Linked DNA regions of Xenopus tropicalis. The protein of the gene in region 3 interacts with the protein of the main gene of each other region in a pairwise test. Links are inferred from orthologs where the notes say so. Each region holds a gene or a part of one and is shown on either strand. Other genes may lie near its edges.

The links. The genes of interacting proteins can lie anywhere in the genome.
Region 1: the proteins of ewsr1 (region 3) and smad4.1 interact in binary tests that used the Homo sapiens proteins (3 or more experiments, as listed by UniProt). The link is inferred for Xenopus tropicalis from reciprocal best matches to the Homo sapiens genes EWSR1 and SMAD4.
Region 2: the proteins of ewsr1 (region 3) and prmt1 interact in a two-hybrid assay, tested with the Homo sapiens proteins (2 studies listed by BioGRID and IntAct). The link is inferred for Xenopus tropicalis from reciprocal best matches to the Homo sapiens genes EWSR1 and PRMT1.

The regions. Positions count from the first base shown.
Region 1 is NC_030677.2:205,056,725-205,060,874, reverse strand, and holds the start of smad4.1 (mothers against decapentaplegic homolog 4), read right to left. Parts: upstream 2,863-4,150; 5' UTR 2,700-2,862; intron 1-2,699. UniProt on the Homo sapiens protein: In muscle physiology, plays a central role in the balance between atrophy and hypertrophy. When recruited by MSTN, promotes atrophy response via phosphorylated SMAD2/4.
Region 2 is NC_030683.2:111,004,777-111,008,885, reverse strand, and holds the start of prmt1 (protein arginine N-methyltransferase 1), read right to left. Parts: upstream 2,863-4,109; 5' UTR 2,714-2,862; coding exon 2,684-2,713; intron 571-2,683; coding exon of another isoform or gene 517-570; intron 1-516. UniProt on the Homo sapiens protein: Arginine methyltransferase that methylates (mono and asymmetric dimethylation) the guanidino nitrogens of arginyl residues present in proteins such as ESR1, histone H2, H3 and H4, FMR1, ILF3, HNRNPA1, HNRNPD, NFATC2IP, SUPT5H, TAF15, EWS, HABP4, SERBP1, RBM15, FOXO1, CHTOP, MAP3K5/ASK1, MICU1 and NPRL2.
Region 3 is NC_030677.2:144,953,156-144,956,744, forward strand, and holds part of ewsr1 (RNA-binding protein EWS), read right to left. Parts: intron 2,091-3,589; coding exon 2,054-2,090; intron 1,356-2,053; coding exon 1,304-1,355; intron 1,172-1,303; coding exon 1,045-1,171; intron 1-1,044. UniProt on the Homo sapiens protein: Binds to ssRNA containing the consensus sequence 5'-AGGUAA-3'. Might normally function as a transcriptional repressor. EWS-fusion-proteins (EFPS) may play a role in the tumorigenic process.

The DNA of each region.
Region 1 (4,150 bases), about 60 Mb from region 3:
CCGATATCACCCACCCGTAGGTGGGGATATTGGGAGAAGATCCGCTCGCTTGGCGACCTCACCAAGTGAGCAGATCTTACTGTGTATGGCCACCTTTAGTCCCTCCAGATCAAGTCAGCCCCATATTAGCCAATATATGGAGCCCTCCTGCTGGCCTGTCTGACTGATATCTGGATCCAGTTTGGCCACCACATTACAGAATCCTGTTGGGCCCCTATTATGGTTTGGTTGTTGGACTGGGAGCCAAAATGTTCAGACCATTACAGATTCTACGTGTATTCCCAGTAGGGCTGCACCGAATCCAGGATTCAGTTCGGGATTTGCTTTCGGCCGAATCCATGCTCCTGGACGAACCAAATTCAAAAAATCACGTGACTTTTTGTCACGTAAACACGGAAGTTGAAAATGTAACCCTTCCGTACCCTAATAAGCATTTGCTAATGAAGATGTAACCCTTCCGTAACCTAATTAGCAATCTGTTCGTTATTCAGCCAAATGGATTCGGTGCATCCCTAATTCCCAGCTTTACACTGATATGTGCTTGTCACTTAAATGCACAGATCTGTTCTGGTAGAAGGATACAGAACTGTGTAACCCCCCTAGGGCATAGAGTATGAATAATAGAGAAGAATTGCAGACACCAGGCGGAGATATCTTGCATACACCGGTACTAATATCAGTACAGCACGGAGGCTCAGAGCAATCTGCCAGCCCAGTATAGTGCTTGTGTATAATCCAATGATGGTAGATGGGATAGCGGCCCGCCGGCTGGCATGCTAAGAATGAGGCTGTATTTAATAATATGCCTTGATGGTGTCTCCTCAACGACTGTTAAAAGAAGCAGCTTGAGCCCCGGCGCTTAATCCGTGCATCAGATATAATGTTTCACAGAAGGGGGGGGAACTGGATCATGAATTTCAGCAAAGGAACATTGTGTACGGAATCAGAACCACCAATCACATCGCTTCATGCGCAGAGACATTAAGGTGCCTGCACGGCTTAACCCCCAGCTGCTCTGCTTTATGGTTGCACAATGCAGCCGCACCACCTGTGAGCCCAACATCCCCATCGATCTGCCAACTGACAATGGTTTGGTGTTCACCGACACAGTGACACTATATGTCTTTTTTTGCATTTGGCTCGATGTATATGGGCACAGAACCCCTCAGTGACTTCTAATATCCTTATCATTTACAGTAGGGGGTACATTATCCCTTATAATACATGAGTGATACTCAGAGTTCCCTGTATAACTCAGCCTGCAGCCTTGTGCCTTTATATGGGCACAGAGCCCCTCAGTGACTGCTCATATCCTTATCATTTACAGTAGGGGGTACATTATCCCTTATAATACATGAGTGATACTCAGAGTTCCCTGTATAACTCAGCCTGCAGCCTTGTGCCTTTATATGGGCACAGAACCCCTCAGTGACTGCTAATATCCTTATCATTTACAGTAGGGGGTACATTATCCCTTATAATACATGAGTGATACTCAGAGTTCCCTGTATAACTCAGCCTGCAGCCTTGTGCCTTTATATGGGCACAGAACCCCTCAGTGACTGCTAATATCCTTATCATTTACAGTAGGGGGTACATTATCCCTTATAATACATGAGTGATACTCAGAGTTCCCTGTATAACTCAGCCTGCAGCCTTGTGCCTTTATATGGGCACATAACCCCTCAGTGACTGCTAATATCCTTATCATTTACAGTAGGGGGTACATTATCCCTTATGATAATCTTTAATAACAATAATGTAGAAGAAGCCAGCAGATAGATCTGGAGGAAATCAACTTCTGCTACATTGTTGCAAGAGGCCTCATCCGCCAAATAAAACTACTCCTAGTTACAATCCAGTCTAACATTGGAACATATGACTAGTTGCTAGGCAGCAGCCCTATGCCATAAGAGCGTTGAAAGGAAGCAATGTTTCCTAGAGGCTTACTATTCTCTTTAAAGGGGAAGTAAACCTAAACCTGCCAGTCCCTTTCAGCCCACAGTGGCCTGGTTTATGGGCGGGGGGAGCTAGGCTCAGATATTCCTATAACCTCTCTCTGTGCCCCAGCTACCGAGTCCTACAGCAGTATTGTCCAGTAATCACTGGGGTAAGTGTTGGGGTTGTAGGTTCGATCCCAGTCAGGGCATTATATATATATATTTGTATATTCTCCCTGTGTCTCCTGTTCTACCCATTGGAAAGCATTAGGAGAGGCGGTTTGACCATCCCTACCTGCCACTGCCCATCCCTAGTAGCAATAAAATAACCCCATGGTTATTGGGAACCATTAGGGGTCAATAAACCCTCCTGTACATATCAGCCTCAGCCAGGGAGCTTACAATCAATCAAATCCCCAACCTCTAAGAGGTGAATTAGGAAACCACTATAAGGGTTTGGGCTTCTCTGTCTTTACTGAACTACAACTCCCATCATCCCCTGCAACAACAATAGCCGCACAGGATATGTGTAAGAGCTGACAAACCGTAACTCCCATAGGCCCCTATGGGAAAAGAGGAGCTTTAAAGGCGCCCGTAAGATAGGCAAGCGCCTCACCGCCTCCAGTGTTTGTGCCCCGGAGCCTCAGCCCGTCCCCTCCCTCTCCATGAGCGGCAAGGCAGCTAATCCCCGGGCGGCCTGGGAACTACACTCCCAGCCCAGGCCCGGAGCAACCCCTTCCTTCCCGCCTATTTCCTTACCGAATTCGAAGTGAAGAAAAGCTCCGTTTCTTCCGGCACCCCCCGCCCGCTCCACAGCGGCCCAGGCCGCGGACAACAAGAACCCCCAGATACGGGCCGCGCCTGCGTACCAGCAGCAACAGCAGCAGCGATCCAGCCTACATCCGGGCCACTGAGCAGGGGGTGGGCGGGGCCGGCATGGAGCGGGAAGGAGGAGGCGGGGAAGCGTGGAGAAAGGAAAAGGCTAGTTAGGGAAAGAGGCGTGGCTGTATTAGAACAGGGCGGAATTGCCAGTCTGTGGGCGGGGCCTTACTAGCGCAGTAGTGCTGCATTCTGGAAGAAGCCCTGCTTACTGGATTGCTTCTGCTAACGGGGCTGGTTACGCTCCCAGGCCTGCTGCTTGATTTTGGGAAAGCCTCTGCCTTTTATTTATATTATTAACCCTTTGCTTTAGTCTCACAGTGCCAGTACAGCAGCAGCCAATCCTAAACCAGCAGCCAGGGCCGTCAAAAGTAATCATGCGGCTTCAAGTATTAACCCTCCAGTCACCTGGGCCCCAAAGGTGATGAACCCTGTAAAATGGGGCCCTTAAAAAAACAAAAAGCTTCTATGTACATGGTACCTATATGGGGCCCCTGACTGCAGAGAATATAGCCCCTGTACATGGCACCTATATGGCCCCCTGACTGCAGAGAATATAGCCCCTGTACATGGCACCTATATGGGCCCCTGACTGCAGAGAATATAGCCCCTGTACATGGCACCTATATGGGCCCCTGACTGCAGAGAATATAGCCCCTGTACATGGCACCTATATGGGCCCCTGACTGCAGAGAATAAAGCCCCTGTACATGGCACCTATATGGCCCCCTGATTGCAGAGAATATAGCCCCTGTACATGGCACCTATATGGGCCCCTGACTGCAGAGAATATAGCCCCTGTACATGGCACCTATATGGGCCCCCTGACTGCAGAGAATATAGCCCCTGTACATGGCACCTATATGGCCCCCTGACTGCAGAGAATATAGCCCCTGTACATGGCACCTATATGGGCCCCTGACTGCAGAGAATATAGCCCCTGTACATGGCACCTATATGGGCCCCCTGACTGCAGAGAATATAGCCCCTGTACATGGCACCTATATGGCCCCCTGACTGCAGAGAATATAGCCCCTGTACATGGCACCTATATGGGCCCCTGACTGCAGAGAATATAGCCCCTGTACATGGCACCTATATGGGCCCCTGACTGCAGAGAATATAGCCCCTGTACATGGCACCTATATGGGCCCCCTGACTGCAGAGAATATAGCCCCTGTACATGGCACCTATATGGCCCCCTGACTGCAGAGAATATAGCCCCTGTACATGGCACCTATATGGGCCCCTGACTGCAGAGAATATAGCCCCTGTACATGGCACCTATATGGGCCCCTGACTGCAGAGAATATAGCCCCTGTACATGGCAC
Region 2 (4,109 bases), on a different chromosome or scaffold from region 3:
GAGACCGCTCAAGTGGTGTCTCTAGCTGGGAAACATGGCAATCTTAAAAGTTACCTACTTTCACAACTGGTCTGAAACTTTATTCAGCACCCTGAAAAAAGTATAGGTATAAGTCACTTTTAAAAAGAGACGTAAAGGTAAAAATCACTAGGAGGTGTGACCACCAGTAATTCTACTCATGAAGCTGGTGCCCGAGTCCAGTAATCATGAATACAGGAGTATAGCCCCAACATTTTTATCCTATTTATGGTGCATCCCATGAGCAGCACAGCGAGTCCAAGATATACTGTACTACACATGTGCACTTGGGCAGAAAAGCATGGCGGCAGGGTGCTCAGAAACAAGCTTCCTGGGCACCAGCCTGTGCATGCAAGTTGGGATTTTTACCTTTACTTCTTTAATCAGGCTGTAACACCACTGCACCACAGTACCATGTAGTGAAATGGCATTTGTTACATGAACTCTAAAGCCAAGTTGGCCAAAACACAACTAGCCAAAAATTTAAAGGATATTTACATCTTCTATTGGAGTCCGCAGGCTCATTCCATTGGCCAACTTGGCTACAAAGTTCTAGAAAAAAGTAACATGGAAAAGTTCACAATGTAACTTGTTTTTAAGCTAGCCACAGGTCAAGCCAGCAACAGCCAAGCATCTAATTTCAGACAGCTTTAAAGGAAACATGTGAAAATTATGAAATACAGAAGGATTGTGCTAAAAAAAAAGTTGTGTCTTGGACTGATTGAAAGATTCCCCCAAAACCCTAATAGTCCTGCCCATCTGTTTCACTAGATGTGAAGGGGGGCTGGCAGCACTCTGTACACTGCACTGTAGGATAGGAACCAATCGGTTTCCCATCAGGTTGGCTGACCTGATAGGGAACTGAAGCCTTTGCTTGTGTGACTGCCGGACTGTGATTGCCTATTTCCCCATTACTGTACTTCTGGCAGGGATCTTAAGGACACGCCTACCCCTCATTTGAAGCACTGACAGGAACCTGAGGATCTATAGGGAGCTCCAATAAAAGTAAAGCCAGCCCCAAATATTCATAATTGCCTACAAAATCAGTTTTTTCTTCATTTAGCCAATGCCCCCTTTAAAGTTAACAGGTCAAAGGTTACAGAATCACTACTGCTAATCACCATCAGTAAGCCAATGGCCATCAGAGCTTAGGTCAAGCCCCTTAGTTTACAGCAAGTCTACAGATGCAACTTGTAAGGCTTATACAATCAAATATGTAGAACAGTTTCAGCCCCACACATCTTAACACCTTCAAAATGAAAATTTAAGTAAATCTAGGAAAGTAAATAGTCTGCCAAATCTTACCAAAATTAGCATTCAATATAAAAGCACCACCATAAAATAGATCAGAATATGGAGTTCCAGGACCTTTAATAATTGCACTCAGCCGGAGGTCTTGTATCTGGGTATCTGTGCATATGTATGTAACACAACCAATCTGGCAATTCCAGAGGAGCCGCTTTAAAATACCATAAACCGTAACTATTCAGTGGGCTACTGTACTTTAAATACCAAAACCTATTTTAAAACCCAGTCCAGAGCTACATACATGTATTCAATGGGGCTTTATATATAGTTTCTAAATTTGCCTTCTAACCGGTCCAGCTTTCAGATGTGGGTCTCAGATCCCAAGAATCTTTGCTCTATATGGCCACAATTGTATTACTTTTCACTGATTATCGTACTATTCAGACCTACAATTCATATCCCTGCCCTTTGTTCCAACCACTCCCTGGTTGCTAAGGCTAGTAGAACCCTACCAACCCAATAGCAGCTGGAATTCCAAACTGGAATGTTGAACAAATTGAAGTTAAAAGACCCAACAAAAGAGACCAATTGCAAATTCTCAGATTACACTCTACCTCATTCTGAGTAACTCAGGTGAACAAACCCTCTATAGCCCTTTACCCATCAACCCTCTAGCACAGTCCCAGAGAATCTACAAAAAGCGATCTAACACATGGTTGTGTCGAATAAAATAAATGAAGTTGGTTTAGGATCGACCCCCCCCCCCCACTGAGCAGGAGGAATGGCGGGACACTAGAATCTCATGTCTCACAAGAGACAAGGGGAGCCGTTAGCATGCGGCCATGGCCCACCCCATTACTGAGAGACTGCTCGATACAAGCCGGCAGGAAGAATGGCGAGCCGTGGGCAGTGGGAAGAGCGCGGCGTGGGACACACGTGTTCCGGCTCCAGCCAGGCCCGGCTTTGTGCTACCGGCATGTGGGCGGGGCTAGGGGCGGGGCATCGCCTGGGGAACACGTGGCCGCTGGCTTCTCAGCACGGACGCGCTACTTACGTCACGATATCTCCCCACGCGTGAAATTCCCCGCAGTGGACGCCCGTGTGCGAGGCTCCTAGCCGCCATTATACCACATCCCTTTAAAAAGGACGAGTCACTGCTGTACTACAGCATTATCGCCTCCCCGGCACCCTAGGGGTTCTGCAGAACCGCTCAACAGAGACCCAGGCCCTGCGGCGTTTAAGCCCTAAGTGAGCAAATTCCAGCCATTTAACGGGGCGGCCATGGGGCGATGTGCTAGTTCGCCGCCATTGAGAGCGTAGAGTGTTAAAGAGTTAAAAGGCCGCAGTGGCCTCACAAAGCGCTCGGCTATAGCGCACAGCCCACCCACTCCCCATAGCTCTTCTCTCGGCTAGTTACCTCCATGTTGCAGGTGCTCGCTTCAGCCATGTTTGTCAGTCTCTCTCACGAATCTAAAAAAGAAACTCAAAGCCACGCCACCGGCTTTGTACGAGAGAACTGCGACATGCGCTTCGGCCCCTTTGCCTTTTATATAGAGAAGCACAAGCCCCGCCCACACACGGCACCGCCCCGGCGTCCTTCGCGCGTTTTTTTCTACCCCTCAACAAGAGCAGATTGTGCCTTTCTTCGCGAAACTGATCCGCCCCCTCCCATCCCCGTACTCCCATTGGCCAGTTTCTATAAATCTTGGCCCACTCACTGGCAGAGGGCTCCGCCCGTCAGTTCGTTCGCTTGGCTGATTGGTGAGTTTGTTTAAAACGTAAAACATTGCGTAATAAAATGGAGTCTTTGTATGTTGAGCTAGCTTAATTTTAGTAGTTCGAGTTTCGGCCGAGCGGTACTGGAGTCACAATACTATTCTTGAAAAAATATTTTATTAGCCTGGGTTATATGACAGAAATCACACATATATCCTCCGAGGAAGAACTGGACTCAATATAAGCCTTATCAGTATAAAGTGAGCTGACAAATCTGTGCACACGACTCCATGCCTATGTTATTGTCCAATGTGTCCTCTCCAGTCATAAGATTCCATGAAAGCAGAAACCTGTAAAGTGCATCACATCTCTACTGTTTTGGTTGCTAATACTCTGAATTAAACAGATAGATATAAAATACTTTAGGGTAAAGTAAAGGCTTCCCAGAAATGTATGAATGTTTATTAAAAAACATAAACTTTCCAATATTTATAATGTAAAATATAATCTATATATTGGAAAGTTTTTTTTGTTAATAAACAAATGCATTTGTAGACTATTTGAAAGAAATTGCTTCCAGTGCCCTCAGCAGTATCAGCCTGACCCATTGGCAATACTGCAGGTAGTCACTAGCACATTGGTGATAAGGGTCATTAGTTGGTATTTGGTTTTAGCTAGTTATTTTTATCATAAACAGGTCTATATACTAAAACTAAATGCAAAGGTGAACATTCCCTTGAAATTAAGCCAAATAATAGGTTCCCAAACTGCAGAGTGCCATTGAGCCCTATGGGAGACTTTCCTTGGGCCAGGTTGGAGCTGCAGAGTGCCATTGAGCCCTATGGGAGACTTTCCTTGGGCCAGGTTGGAGCTGCAGAGTGCCATTGAGCCCTATGGGAGACTTTCCTTGGGCCGGGTTGGAGCTGCAGAGTGCCATTGAGCCCTATGGGAGACTTTCCTTGGGCCGGGTTGGAGCTGCAGAGTGCCATTGAGCCCTATGGGAGACTTTCCTTGGGCCGGGTTGGAGCTGCAGAGTGCCATTGAGCCCTATGGGAGACTTTCCTTGGGCCAGGTTGGAGCTGCAGAGTGCCATTGAGCCCTATGGGAGACATTCCTTGGGCCGGGTT
Region 3 (3,589 bases):
CCAGCACCCAGAAGCACTGAATTCACCAGTAAACTCCAAGACTTGCGTTAGTTGGCAGATATATGCTACGTGCGCCTGCAATGCTTCCGGGTGCAGACACATTCAGGTTTCTCATGCGTACGGGCGGATTGGCATCTTGCGCTTATACGCAGGCTGACAATCCACTTTGCGGAGCCTTATCCTAAGCATCATTTAAAAACAGATTAGGGATGCATTGATTCCAGGGTTAGGTCTTTTTCAGCAGGATTCGCCCGAATCCTTAAAAATCACATGATTTTTTTTGTCATAAACACGTAAATGTTAATTTTTCCTGCGTGGTTGTCTTTAACCCTTATGCTAATTTGCATATGCAAAATAGGATTTGGATTGGTATTCGATCTAGTCTTTCGCAAAGGATTCAGGGTTCAGCCAGATCCTAAAATAGTGGATGTGCATGACTAAAACAGACCCTACACCAGTAACACCCTACATACCCAACCCTCCTCCTTACATAGGAAGGCAGCATTTAAAGGAACTAACACCAAACAATTAAAGTGTATAAAAGTAATTACAATATAATGTACTGTTATCCTGCATTGCTACAACTGGTGTGTTTGCCTCAGAAAGACTACTATAGGTTTATATAAGTAAGCTGCTGTGTAGCCATGGGGCAGTCATTCAAAGGAGAAAAGGCACAGGTTACTTAGCAGATAACAGATAAAATGCCATTGTATTCTACAGAGTTTATTTGTTATCTGCAATGTAACCTGTGCCTTTTCTCCAGCTTGAATGGCTGCCCCCATGGCTACACAGCAGCTAGTTTATATAGTAGCTTTTCTGTAGCAAAAACACCAGTTTTTTGCAGAGTAAGAGCACATTATATTTTAATTACTTTAAAACACTGTAATTTTTTGATGTTACTGTTCCTTTAACACTGCAATAAAAAATTATTTATTTAACCACCAATAATTGCAGCCCCTGCTTTTATCAACTGATTGTACAACATGGCAACTTTCAACAATAAAACATTTTCAGCAAGAGCTACATCAAGCCCTTTAACGGTACCTGTTGGTGGCTGTCCATAAGAAGTGGCATAGGCAGACTGGCCATAGCTGGCTGTTGTCTGTGCTTGTGTGTAACTGGCATCAGTGGGCTGTGCATAGGTGCCATAACTCTGCTGCCCATAAGTTGCCTGCAAAAATGAATTGTTAAGTTTGTTTTTTTTCAACAAAAAAAATTAGCTTTTAAAGTTGGCAATGGAGCTTATCAAGTACATTCAGAGCACATTCTTACAATGAACTAAAATGCTTTATAACATGATTACCTGTGCAGTCTGTGCGTAGCCTTGAGTTGGTTGTGCAGTATATGCACTGTAACTGCATTAAGAAAAAAAAAAAAAACGCACTGAATAAAGTTATACAAGCCAGGTACAAATACACTCCTATTCCTACCTAGGCTTAACAGCTCATAACATTTGTGACCAGTGCCAGCGCATGTTTTTGGTATAAAGGAAAATTGCATGCCTTATAACGTGAGATCAACTGAAAAGGATCTACCATGTTACATTCTATTTTTGACATTTCACTGCAATAGCACTTCAAAGAAGAAGTAAACCGTTTCTTTTCTGTCTTTAAAATTACTCTAAACATCCCACAGAATAACAAAATGTAAATCTACAGTTTGATATTTCTTGAGCTAGATAGGAAAGCCAACTTCATGTTTGGGCCTTGCAAGGTAATTAGATTACCAGATCTCAGATAATCCCCCTTACACACTGGACTTCTGCTAACAAAACTGTCACATCAAAGGGGGAAGGGAGGAGGTTGTATACTGGTGATGTATCTTGCAAGGACCAACCACGAAGTAGCTTTAATTGCTCTGTTTAGCTAATGAAATAAATATAGATTTGACAAAAAAAACAAAAAGTATGTTCAGCATAAACTGTTGGTGGTATAAAGAGTAGTGTTGCAAGTGGCAGAATGGCCCCTTGTTCAACCTGATTTCAGCCAACAATGCACAGAAATGCTTCTGAATGCATGGTTCATAATATATACAAATAGCTAAACCAAATTACCTTTGTTGGGCTCCAGTTTGGCTATAGGTGCTGTAATCTATAACAGAAAAAATAAAGCTAAGTTAAAAAAGCAACTTACACAGCCTTATACATTCCCAATAATCAATAACAATGCATTTATGTTATGTTGTGGTTAACAACCCTGTAAAAACATTCTAGTGAAGCATATTTAACGCTCACTTTAAAACCTGCAGCACTTTATATCCCTCTATTTGGGTCTACAAGTTACCCACCCACTTAGATTGTAAGCTCTACAGGGCAGGGACATCCATTCTCTTGGACTCTTCACTGAGTAATATTTAATGAAACTGTACTTTGTAGTGGTTTGTATCTATTATTGTAATGACTCGTTCTATTAATTTATTGTTCTGCTGTACAGTGCTGCATACATAAGCTAACGGTATATAAAACATACAAAAAAAAAAATGTAAAGAGACTTCGGTTATATTGGTGGTTCACAGGTTAAGGGGTTGTTCACCTTTAACATTATGTAATTTGTAGAGAATGCTTTTCTGAGAATTTGCTATTGGTGGTAATTTTTTTGAATTTAGCTTTTTGCTCAGCATTCTTCAGTGTAAATTTTCAACATCTACCTAGTTATGAGGGCCCAAATTACCCTAGCAACCCTAGCAGTGGTTTGAATGAGAGGCTGAATTTTTTTTTTTTTTTTTACTATTGTAGTCGGTACATTTGAAAGCTGGAAAGAGTCAAGAGGAAAGCAATTCAAAAACTATAAATAAAAAAAGACCATGCTATTAACAGACTAAAGGTTAAAGGTGGACTACCCCAGTAAACATTATGTGAAGGTAAATAGATGCAGGCGACATTTTTTTCCCCCATATGTAATAAAAGACACTAAGGGGCTGATTTACTAACCCACGAATCCGACCCGAATTGGAAAAGTTCCGACTTGAAAATGAACATTTTGCGAATTTTTCGTACGTTTTGCGATTTTTTCGGATTCTGTACGAATTTTTCGTTACCAATACGATTTTTGCGTAAAAACGCGAGTTTTTCGTATCCATTACGAAAGTTGCGTAAAAAGTTCATCATTTTTCGTATCGTTAAAACTTACGCGAAAAGTTGCACATTTTTCGCGTAAGTTTTAACGCTACGAAAAATGATGAACTTTTTACGCAACTTTCATAATGGATAGGAAAACTCGCGTTTTTACGCAAAAATCGTATTGGTAACGAAAAATTCGTAAAGAATCCAAAAAAATCGCAAAACATACGAAAAAATCGCAAAATACCGATCATTACGAAAAAAACGCAATCGGACTCCATTCGACCCGTTCGTGGGTAAGTAAATCAGCCCCTAAGTTTGTCCAGTAGCAGTAACCTATAGCAACCAATAAGATGTGTTTTCAAACAAGCAACCAGTAAATTCTACCTGCTGATTGGTTGCTATTGGTTACTGCTCCTGGGTAAACTTAGTGCCTTTTATTACATAACCCCCTTTGTTATATGGATCAGTGCACATTCAGGGCTCTGGTACACGGGGAGATTAGTCGCCCGCGGCAAAACTCCCTGTTCG